Linked DNA regions of Cricetulus griseus. The protein of the gene in region 1 interacts with the protein of each later gene in a pairwise test. Links are inferred from orthologs where the notes say so. Each region holds a gene or a part of one and is shown in the gene's direction. Other genes may lie near its edges.

Region 1 (3,750 bases):
AATTACTCTGATAATTTCACGTCTAGAAGCATGGTCAGAATAAAACCTGTGCAGAATTGCTTGCAAGGTTTCTTAGGTGATCACTGACTTTCTCCTACTTAAGAACGCGTTCATTCTCTGTGTGGCCTTTTCTCTCTTCAAGCCTAGGGCTGACATTAAACCTAACAGTAAACAGCAATTACCAACACCATCAGCATCATCGTAGGGGTGAGGTTGATGGAAAACAGGACCCCTGTCCTGGGATGATGCTCACATTTGCACGTGTCTCTCTGGGGAGTGACCTGAAGGTTCACACAAGCAACTACACAGTCCGTTGGAAAGTATACAATCCACTCAGCCATCTGTCCACTGCCCCTCCCACCTGCCAGTCCCTCCCCACCCCCCAGACATGCAATAGGGGGCGGTGGCAAGAGGAGGTTTTCCCACTCCTAACAAGCAAGCCCCTTATGAAAGAGAGAAATGTGACGCGGGAGGTCAGCATACTTTGTAAGAACTGTGCGATCCGTCCTTCTGTCCCGTCCCTCCGTCCCTCTGAGGCCTACGCTGGAGCGAGCAAGCTCCTGGGTCTCTAAGAGCAGACAGAAGGCCTGCAGCTCAGGCTCGGCCCTCATGCCGGCCACGTCTGCTAGCGTCATCTTTCTCATCTGCCTTCCACCCTCAAACTCCAGCAGCAGAGTTGCTCCGGATCCTGAGGGACTACCAAGAGCAAAGCTGACTGACTGGGAAGGAGAAAGGGGAAGAGATCCAGAGAAGAGGGAGGGCAGAGAAGAGAGCAGACACCCGGACTTTCCCAGAGAGCTGGGTTCCTAGGGCTCCCCCGCCCCCCTGGGGTCGAATTACAGAAGCTCCCATAGCCACGCTATTGGCCCGTAGGAGTCAGGGCAGAGGGCTCTGAGACCCTCCGGATGAGGACAGTAGCTTCTTTTCTTTCTCTGGTCCCCATCACACCCACCCTGATTCCTCCCAGACAATCCTTTGCGCACGTCCCCCTACATTCCGAGGCGGGTGAGGCAGTGACGCAGCCTTGCCCTAGGCGCCTGGGTTCCAGGCTCAAGTCTCTGCAGGGACTGGGTGGTGGCGGCCATCCCGAGCTGAGGGGATGATGTGTGCTGGATTCCTACCCTTCCCACCCTGTTTGCTCCCGGCTCCGCCAGGGTCCTTGAGACCATGCAGAGAGCTCTGGCCTACCGAGGCCCGCCTCAAGAGAGCCGAGAGGCCTCGTCCCCTCTCACCTCTTGTCAGTTCAGCTTTCTAGGCTGGGTGGGGAAAGGGCCGCGGAGGGTCGCCTCCCATCCCCCACATCCTGGAGGCGGAGGCGAGCAGAGTCGGGCGCGCGCAGAAGTCAATCTCTACTCCCCTTGGCCCCAGTGCTCCAAGTCAGCTCTGGCAGCGGCCGGAGCAGCCGCCGCGGCCCGGGCAGCCTGGGGGGGCGACCGCGCGTCACCTAGACTGAGGAGCGCCGGGGATTTAAATGCCACTGAAACGGTGATCCATCACCGCCGCAGCCGGTAAACTTTCGCAGGCGGCTCAGCCATTGGTTGACAAAGTCACGTGTCCTTCCCCTTGAGTCCTCCGCCTTCCCGCCCCGCCTCTTGCGCACTGTACATTCATATCATTTTTCTTCTCTGGTCCCATGGAGGAAGTGAGAAAGTTGGCACGGTCACCCAGGGCTTCGCAGGACCCAGTCACTCAGTGACAGATGGACAATGCAAGAATGAGCTCCTTCCTGGAATATCCCATCCTTGGCAGTGGCGACTCCGGGACCTGCTCTGCGCGAGCCTACACCTCTGACCATGGGATTACAACTTTCCAATCCTGCGCGGTCAGTGCCAACAGCTGCGGCGGCGACGACCGCTTCCTAGTGGGCAGGGGGGTGCAGATCAGCTCGCCCCACCACCACCACCATCACCACCCCCAGCCGTCTACTTACCAGACTTCTGGGAGTCTGGGGGTTTCCTACTCCCACTCGAGTTGTGGTCCAAGCTATGGCGCGCAGAACTTCAGTGCGCCTTATGGCCCCTATGGATTAAATCAGGAAGCAGACGTAAGTGGTGGGTACTCCCCGTGCGCTCCCGCTGTTTACTCTGGAAACCTCTCATCTCCCATGGTCCAGCATCACCACCACCACCACCACCAGGGTTATGCTGGGGGCACGGTGGGCTCGCCTCAGTATATCCACCACTCTTATGGACAAGAGCACCAGAGCCTGGCCCTGGCCACGTATAATAACTCCTTATCCCCTCTCCACGCCAGCCACCAAGAAGCCTGTCGCTCCCCTGCTTCAGAGACGCCTTCTCCAGCGCAGACCTTTGACTGGATGAAAGTCAAAAGAAACCCTCCCAAAACAGGTGAGTCCTGCCGGCTGGCAAACAAATGTTGCTTGATTTTGAAAGGGGCCGGTGCGCTTAGTTTCCTAGGAAAGTTAATGATTTTAAAAGATGGGTTCTTGCTTCTGTCTAGTGTCTTCTGGAGTTATAGTGTGTGGTGTAGGATGCCCAGGTGTGTTGGGGCAAAGCAGTTTCTGGACCTGGCATTTTCAAAGGGGCTGATGCTTCAGTGGTCTAGAAGTAGGAAGCGTGTGTGTGTGTGTGTGTGTGTGTGTGTGTGTGTGTGTGTGTGTGTGTGTGTGTGGTGTGGTGTGGGTGGGAGGTGTCGGTGGTGGTGGAGTTTTGTTAATATCTACAGGCTCCATTAATCAGAAGCCTGACCACGCTAATGGTTGACTTCAGGTTAACACTTTACATACACATCGTTTGTCACTAGAGCTTCCCAGCTGGGTTTGTGCTGAGCAGTTAACCGAATGTTGCCCCGAACATTGGGCAATCGGATAAGGGTTAAAGAATTTTTACCTTTTCCTCTCTTCCTCCGTTACCCCAGGGAAAGTTGGAGAGTATGGCTATGTGGGTCAACCCAACGCAGTGCGCACCAACTTCACCACCAAGCAGCTCACGGAGCTGGAGAAGGAGTTCCACTTCAACAAGTACCTGACACGAGCGCGCAGGGTGGAGATAGCCGCGTCCCTGCAGCTCAACGAGACCCAGGTGAAGATCTGGTTCCAGAATCGCCGCATGAAGCAGAAGAAGCGTGAGAAGGAGGGGCTCCTGCCCATTTCTCCAGCCACTCCTCCTGGAAGCGACGAGAAAGCTGAAGAATCTTCTGAGAAATCCAGCTCCTCGCCCTGCGTTCCTTCTCCAGCATCATCTACCTCAGACACCCTGCCTACCTCCCATTGAGGCCACTCCAGCCCAGCTCCGTAGTCCAGGCTTCTCCCTGGGCTAGGGTTTCTTACCCAAAGCACATCTCTAGCTTATCTTTCTTCCTTTACAGTCTCTCTTTTTCTTTCTGGTCCAATCCAGAGAGCTCCTGGGCAACATAATGTAGTTCCATAGAATTCTGGAGACTTGGTTGTAAATTAAATCCTTAATCCACATCGGGTGCCCATATCAATTTCTGGTGGCCCCCAAAATTCCTTCCTCACTGTTGTGAGAGTTTTTTTTACACAACCCATGGTTCCTTTCAGATGTCCCTTGGAGGACAGTACCCTTTGCCAGCAGGCATTTGAAGAAGGGAGGCATCTCACCTTTTATCTGTATATTGTTCTTCTCTACCTGGCTCTTAAGTAGGACACACAAAAAAGAGAGTATCCAAAGGCTCATGAAGAAGAGATTGACTGAGTGTGTTTACACAATTAATTCACCCCTTAACTTTCTCTTGAGAGATTTATCTTTATACAGATTTTCTAGAAACATG
Region 2 (3,650 bases), on another chromosome or scaffold:
TCACTCTCTGAGCCATCTTGCTGGCCTCTATGGGAGTTGTTAAAGGCAGTGCTTTACCAGATTTTTAACATGTAAGATATGTTAACTGTAAGTTAAGAGAATAAGCCAAAGCCATGCAATCCCAATTACATGCATTAGTGTGTTCGTATCTCCTGATAGTAGAAAAGCACTGTAACAAATTAACCTGTAGATTAGGAGGGATGTTTATTTTCTTCCCTTACACTTTTTCTGCATTCCCAAAGCATGTTATCATAAATGTGCTTGTTTGGATAATCAGAAAGAAAATTAGTTTTATTTGCTGGGTAGATTAATTTATACATTTTAGTACTTATAAAATTATACATTAATTGGATCTTATGACATTTAGCTTTTTCCAAAAATATAATAAGAACATTAGTAATCTGCTTTTTCTTCGGATTTTCAAGACACGGTTTCTCTGTGTAGCTCTGACTGTCCTGGAACTCCCTGTAGACCAGGGGGCCTCAAACTCAGAGATCCACCTGCCTCTGCCTCCCGAGTTCAGGGATTAAAGACATGGACCACCACTGCCAGGCTGAAATGTGCTTTTAAAATACTATTTATTTTTAAGGTTTAGTACCAGCAAGATGGTGGCACTTACCACCAAGTCTTACAACCTGAGTCCTGTTCTCAAGGATCCATATGGTAGAAGGAGAGAACAGAGTCCAGCAAGGTGTCCTGTGACCTCCACATGTACTCCATGACACTTAGCATCGTGTGAGTGTACACATGCACACACACATACACACATACATAATATAAATAAATAAATGTAAAAACACTGCTATCATAAACTATTTCTGTGCCAAATGTTATCTGCTATTTGAGACTTACTGCTAAATCTCTTCTCAGGAGTTGACATCTTCTAATTGGAGTACAAACATTCTGTCTCCACTGTTGGATATTTCCTCATGAGTAGAGAAGGAAATAGTTTGCATCCCAGCTCACCCTAAAGGGCTGGGAGATGAGTATGTCACGCTCCCATGTTCTGTGATTTGCTGAAATTTGCCAAATGTTTCCTTTCTCTGTCTGTAAAGTGGGAGGATGAAGTCTGCCTTCCAGAGGTTTCTGAGGGTTACCCGATTTGGAGACAGAGAGCCCAATGTGAGAGCTGGTGTGTAACATGCAGCTGGTAAACTGCATCTGTGGCCGTTGCCTCTGCGTGGACTGACTGGAGGAGAACCCTTTAGAGCAATGCCCATTCCTGAAATTGATTTTGTGTAGCACATCAGGCTTCATCAGAGCTGCCCGAGCCCCTTACCCATGATCTAAGTCAAAGCCCACAGCAGCTGTGGAAGATAGGGTCAGCTTAAGCACACCCCACATACAGTCAATAGCACAAATCTTTAGAGAAGGACAGCCAGGGGTGTATATCAGTGCGTATCAGCGCCCTGCTCACACACCCATTTCTCCTAGGTTTACTGGACATGCCCAACAGAAGACGTGGACTCCTTTGAGATGGAATTCTATGAGCTCATTAATACCCCTCCTAACAATGTTCGAACAGAGCTCTGTGGACAAATTCGGGACATCATGCAGCAGAACCTGGAGCTGCACAACCTGACTCCCAACACAGAGTATTTGTTCAAGGTTAGAGCCATCAACGATAATGGTCCCGGGCAATGGAGTGACATCTGCAAGGTCAGTACATTCATTTCTTAGGTAGATTTTTTTTTATTACTTGGACTTCTTAATTCTTACCAATTTATTGGAGGGGCCCATATGTGCACGCATGCCCACACACTACCCACACATGCACGCCATGGTGTGCACATGGATGTCAGAGGAGAACAACTTGCAAAAGTTAGTTTCATCTCTCTTATGTGGGTCCTGAGGATCAAAGTGAGGTCCTCAGGCTTGTTGTCAAGAGCCTTTGCCAACTGAGCCATCTCTCTGCCCCATCAAGTGGGAATGACTTGATAGGGTCCAGATTTGGCTTGAAGATCATCAGAGAACGGCGAATTCTGCCTCTACACTCAGAAAGCTAAAGTCTCAGCCAGAGGCAGGGCTGCTGGTCTCCACCAGACTGTGCAAACCAGGTCTGAGGATGGTAGGGTCTGCTGAACTCAAAACGACTTGTTCTAGGCTTTATGTTAGAATATAGAAACGCAGAGTTAAAACCAAGCTTAACCCCTCCTTCTGCGGCAGTCAGGAACTAGTAAACACACCATGGTATATGAGGAGAATAAGAAAAACAAACTCCAAGGGAGTGCTACACCCTGCAGAGGCAAGGTGTGAAATTTAGCATAGAGGCAGGACAGTCGGTTAAACCAGAATTTCTCAAAGACAGCAAACAAAACTTGTGGTACAAGTACGCCCTATATAATATTTAAGACATTTATACTAAAATTATTTTTTGTTTAACTGGGAGTTAAAAAACAGACACTGAGCAAGTCCGTTGAGCTCCATAAAGCAAGGAAACAAGCTTCTTCTTTGCACTGGAGAGCTGATTCTTCTTCGAATTCCCAAGTGACACTCATGAATGCCATCAGACTGATATTAAGAATACCAGACTGCCAAGAGCTCTTCTACTATGTAACTGTGAAGATGCTCTTTGGAAGCTGAGTAAGTCTTAGGGGTTCTTTAAAATGTAGAAAGGACAGGTCCATTCACTTGGGGTTTAGAAGAAGGTGGACTTACAGCCTCAAGAAACTTCTAAGATACATCTAGAAGACATGTGTCTGTCTGACCTGACATCCACAAAAACCAAAAAGTTATCCCTCTCCCTCCCCTCCCTGCCCATCACTCTTCTCCACTCCCCCTCCAGTCTCTGCCCCATCCCTTCCCTCCCTTCCTTCCCTCTTCTCTCCCCTCTTCTCCTCTCACCTCTGCTTCCGTCTTCCCGTCTCTTTCCATCTCCCCCTCCCTTTCTCTCCCTTCCCTCTGCTCCCCTCTCTTCTCCTTCTCCTCCTCTCCTGGCCACTTCTCTCTGAATCTGCCTCAGTTTCGGTTACCCCTTAGTTTCTACTCCCTTAAACCCAGCTTTCCTGTACCTTTGGATAGTCTCCATCCATGGCTCAGTACCCATCATTCTGGTTAATCACACTTTAGCAACTTGCTGAGATATTTGAGTGCAAGAATCTGATTGGTCATTGTCTCTAATAATAATGGAGAATGGGAAATAATGACAGGCAGGCATACGTATGCTGCCATGGAGCAAGTCTGCAGAGTAGGCTATTCCCAACACCTCCTACTGTCATGCTTCCTTCCTTCTTCCTCAAAGGTCAGACACATACCAAGGAAGCGTGATGAGAAAGCCTGTCTGGCTACTCTTCAGCTGTTTCTCAGTCAGCCTCCATGCCTGTCGATCAGTCGCCACAGAGACCTCCTCACTCCAGAGCCCCGAAGCCTCACACCTGTGACTACATAATGTACTCTGTGCTCTTGACTGTGGATTTTTCCTGTAATCTGATCCCATCTGCCTCCTCAGCTTTTAGACTCTCTCAGAAATGGCTTGCCCATGAAGGGCACTCAGTAGTTATTTTTTTTTAATGAATCATCTGTCATCTCTTGATGTGAGGATTGGGATGGATAGAGTACTTGAGGACTGCCATCAGTCTGTCATGCTACCTCTTGGGTCTTCCCCTCCCTCTCACACTATGACCTCCTCGAAAACAAAATTCTTGCCTAAT
Region 3 (3,177 bases), on another chromosome or scaffold:
AGGCCAGCTCTAAAGTGGGCACTGCAGGAGGGGCCAGCCCTGCACTAGTCCCTGAGCTTGTGTGTCTGTCATAAGAAGCTTGGTGGATTGAGTGGCACACACAGGCTTGTATGCTGACCCCATCTATGCCAAATGAGCTGGGGCTTGGGAAGGGAACCTCAGATCCTGGGACTGATGCTGGCTAATCATCCACAAACAGATGAGGTGGGTAGGGTGCATCCTACCTGAGAAAGACTTGGCATAGGTCACCCCATGTTGGACCCCTCTGAACCACCCTTATTCACCACAGAACCATCTACCGGACTGCCTATCGCCGCAGCCCTGGGCCAACTCCCACCAGGCCTCACTATGCCTGCTGCCCTGGTTGGAAGAGGACCAGCGGACTTCCCGGGGCTTGTGGAGCAGGTGAGGGCAATGCGCACTGTGCCCAATGTAAGACCCCACTTCCAGCTGCCCAGCAGAGGCCCTGCTGCCTTCTGTCCCCCAAGTAGTGCATCCTCGCTGCAGGGCAACCCTTCCCTGGCTGTCACAGGGCTCTGGAGACCCTCCTGAGTTGGTGACAAACAGGCCTCTTCTACCCACAGCAATATGCCAGCCTCCATGTGGGAATGGAGGGAGTTGTATCCGCCCAGGCCACTGCCGCTGCCCCGTGGGATGGCAAGGAGATACTTGCCAGATAGGTAAGCACCGCTCTTCTTCAAAGACAGGTCTTCTTGGTGCCTTGTATATTCTAGGTTACTGCCAGCTGAAGCAGTTTTCATTGATAAGTTGGTCCTAACAGGGGCCTGTGGCCAGGACCTTGCCTTCTGTAGACACAACTAGATCAACACCTTCATTTCCTACAGATGTGGATGAATGCAGTACCGGAGAGGCCAGCTGTCCCCAGCGCTGTGTCAATACTGTGGGAAGTTACTGGTGCGAGTGTTGGGAGGGGCAAAGCCTGTCTGTAGATGGAATGCGCTGCCTGCCCAAGGAGCGACCCTCCTTGGTGGCCCCAAGCCCCACAGCAGGTAATCTTGCCTTTCCACCATACTGTGACTGACCTGGGTGGTTGTTGGGTTGTGAGCACTGTTCTGTGGTTGAGCTGAGCATGGAGGTCACAGGGGGCAGCTCGCCCTGGGTGGAGGTCAGCACTGTGCTGCGAGGGCTGAGCCCAGACATCCCGGGCTGGAGGGAGGTTTCTGGAAGGCATTGTGGGGAGACAGGCATACCTGGAGTCTCATCTCAGCCAACTGAGTGAAAATGAGCCCCACCCTGGGTCTGGCAGCCTGGAGACGCCGTGTCTTTGCCGGTGACAGCACATTATTACTTTTGGTACGCGCTGTGACACTTCAAACTCGTACCGTGAGTAATAATGCGCTGTCAGCAGCCCAGCGCCAGGAGTGCACCGGACCTGCATAAGGATCGCCACTGGCATGCCAGACCCAAGACCTCGGTACCTGGTGGGGGTGGGGTGGGGGTAGGCAGGGGCTGCTCTGAGTTATGTGCTCTGGTAGGGCCTGAGACTTAACAGCAACATCCAGAGGCTCATCTCCAGGCTCTGCTCCCACAGCTGTGGCAGCAGACATAGGGCTTCCTAAGGCTAAGAGCTCGTTGTGGGGCAGGAAACTCCCCTGATTAGCACCCGATCTGCCCCCAGGAGTGGACAGCATGGTGAGGGAGGAGGTACACAGGCTGCAGTCCCGGGTTGATGTGCTGGAGCAGGTGAGGCTTGGATGGGAGTGAGTCTGGCTGGTGTCCACAGACCCCATAGTCTCTGGGGCTGTGGTTCCAAGCCATATAGGATGGTTGGGGGTTTTATGGGGAAGGGCTGTGGGGATTCTGGCTTTCTTACTATGCCAGGCAGCACTGTGTGGGATTCCCCAGCCTGGGAGGAACTGAGGTTCAGAGCCCACTTAGCCTGTTGTACAGGACTCTTCCAAGTATCATCAAGCCACAGGTCCCATGACTCCTAGCTTGTCTCTGGGTCCTGAAACCATTTAACTAGGTTGTGGGTATGTTATACACCTGTGTCTACTAGGTTTTGGGCTCCCTCTATTTGTAAGCAGGGCCCCTGCTGCTACAGCTCAGTAGGGGACTTATCGCACCCTTACTGGTCCTACCTGGTCACTTGGCTTTTTGCAACCTCCCTTACAGAAACTGCAGTTGGTGCTGGCCCCACTGCACAGCCTGGCCTCTTGGGCTACAGAGCATGGGCTACAAGACCCTGGCAGCCTGCTGGCCCACTCCTTCCAGCAGCTGGACCGCATTGATTCACTGAGTGAGCAGGTCTCCTTCTTGGAGGAGCAGCTAGGGTCCTGTGAGTGCCACACCTCCCCACCCACAAAGATCCTGGGGAACCCATGGGGTGGGTGGAACTACCCCTGGGGATTGGCAGATTTGCAAGTTTGCACCCTCTTTCCTTTCCTGCTCTAGGCTCTTGCAAAAAAGATCTGTGATAGCATCTGGTCACCCAGGTTGGACTAAGCTGTCACCCTTACATCCCTGCCAGCCGGACTTCAGGTGCTATCTGGTGGTGCCTGTGAGCAGAAAGCCCTGCTTGTCTTTCCCTATTTCTCAGGTTCCTAGGACTTGGGCATGGGGAGAGGGCATGGGGTCTTGTGACTCTCCCAATAGGGCTTTCCAGGAAAGGTACGCGAGCACCCTGTCCAGAGGTGAGGTGGGGATTGTCCCCATCTTTGTCATAATAAAAGCTGGGACTTGAACTGCTGTCAGTGGGTGAATTGGGACTGGGCGTGCACTGTACTCCCATCCTGGAGGCTCCAAGTAAAGTGAAGCACCTGTCTACACACAGGAGCTGCAGCAGGCAGACTGAGGCTCAGTTTTCCCTTGGTGGCTTGCTGACTCCACTCACAGCCAGAGGCTAAAAGACCGGTCTTCAGCCTGTCCTCAAGGTCATGCCTCCAGGCCCATGATCTGTCACCCTTCAGTTCTGTGGACCCCACACATTCACTGAGAACAGCACTGCTGACTGATCACAGCTCATCCCCTGGAGGCAATTTGGGGGAGCAGGGAACTTATATACTGCAGCCCGAGAGAAGGGACATGTGGGTGGTTAGATACCATCCTTGCCACCCTGGATCCTTGAATGGAGACCTGGGAAGCGGTTCTTGCCCACCCTCTGAAAGAGACCCCTGGTCTCTAGGCACTTCTCAGAGTTCATTTATAAAAAGAAAA

Evidence for each region.
Region 2: the proteins of Hoxa1 (region 1) and Trim42 interact in binary tests that used the Homo sapiens proteins (3 or more experiments, as listed by UniProt). The two-hybrid records come from large-scale screens. The link is inferred for Cricetulus griseus from reciprocal best matches to the Homo sapiens genes HOXA1 and TRIM42.
Region 3: the proteins of Hoxa1 (region 1) and Egfl7 interact in binary tests that used the Homo sapiens proteins (3 or more experiments, as listed by UniProt). The link is inferred for Cricetulus griseus from reciprocal best matches to the Homo sapiens genes HOXA1 and EGFL7.

The regions. Positions count from the first base shown.
Region 1 is NC_048601.1:89,186,401-89,190,150, forward strand, and holds the start of Hoxa1 (homeobox protein Hox-A1), read left to right. Parts: upstream 1-1,585; 5' UTR 1,586-1,699; coding exon 1,700-2,348; intron 2,349-2,877; coding exon 2,878-3,233; 3' UTR 3,234-3,750. UniProt on the Homo sapiens protein: Sequence-specific transcription factor. Regulates multiple developmental processes including brainstem, inner and outer ear, abducens nerve and cardiovascular development and morphogenesis as well as cognition and behavior.
Region 2 is NC_048597.1:205,874,128-205,877,777, reverse strand, and holds part of Trim42 (tripartite motif-containing protein 42), read left to right. Parts: intron 1-1,434; coding exon 1,435-1,659; intron 1,660-3,650.
Region 3 is NC_048599.1:137,982,265-137,985,441, forward strand, and holds the end of Egfl7 (epidermal growth factor-like protein 7), read left to right. Parts: intron 1-289; coding exon 290-405; intron 406-584; coding exon 585-680; intron 681-845; coding exon 846-1,010; intron 1,011-1,289; exon of another isoform or gene 1,290-1,369; intron 1,370-1,639; coding exon 1,640-1,704; intron 1,705-2,136; coding exon 2,137-2,299; intron 2,300-2,415; coding exon 2,416-2,438; 3' UTR 2,439-2,670; downstream 2,671-3,177. UniProt on the Homo sapiens protein: Regulates vascular tubulogenesis in vivo. Inhibits platelet-derived growth factor (PDGF)-BB-induced smooth muscle cell migration and promotes endothelial cell adhesion to the extracellular matrix and angiogenesis.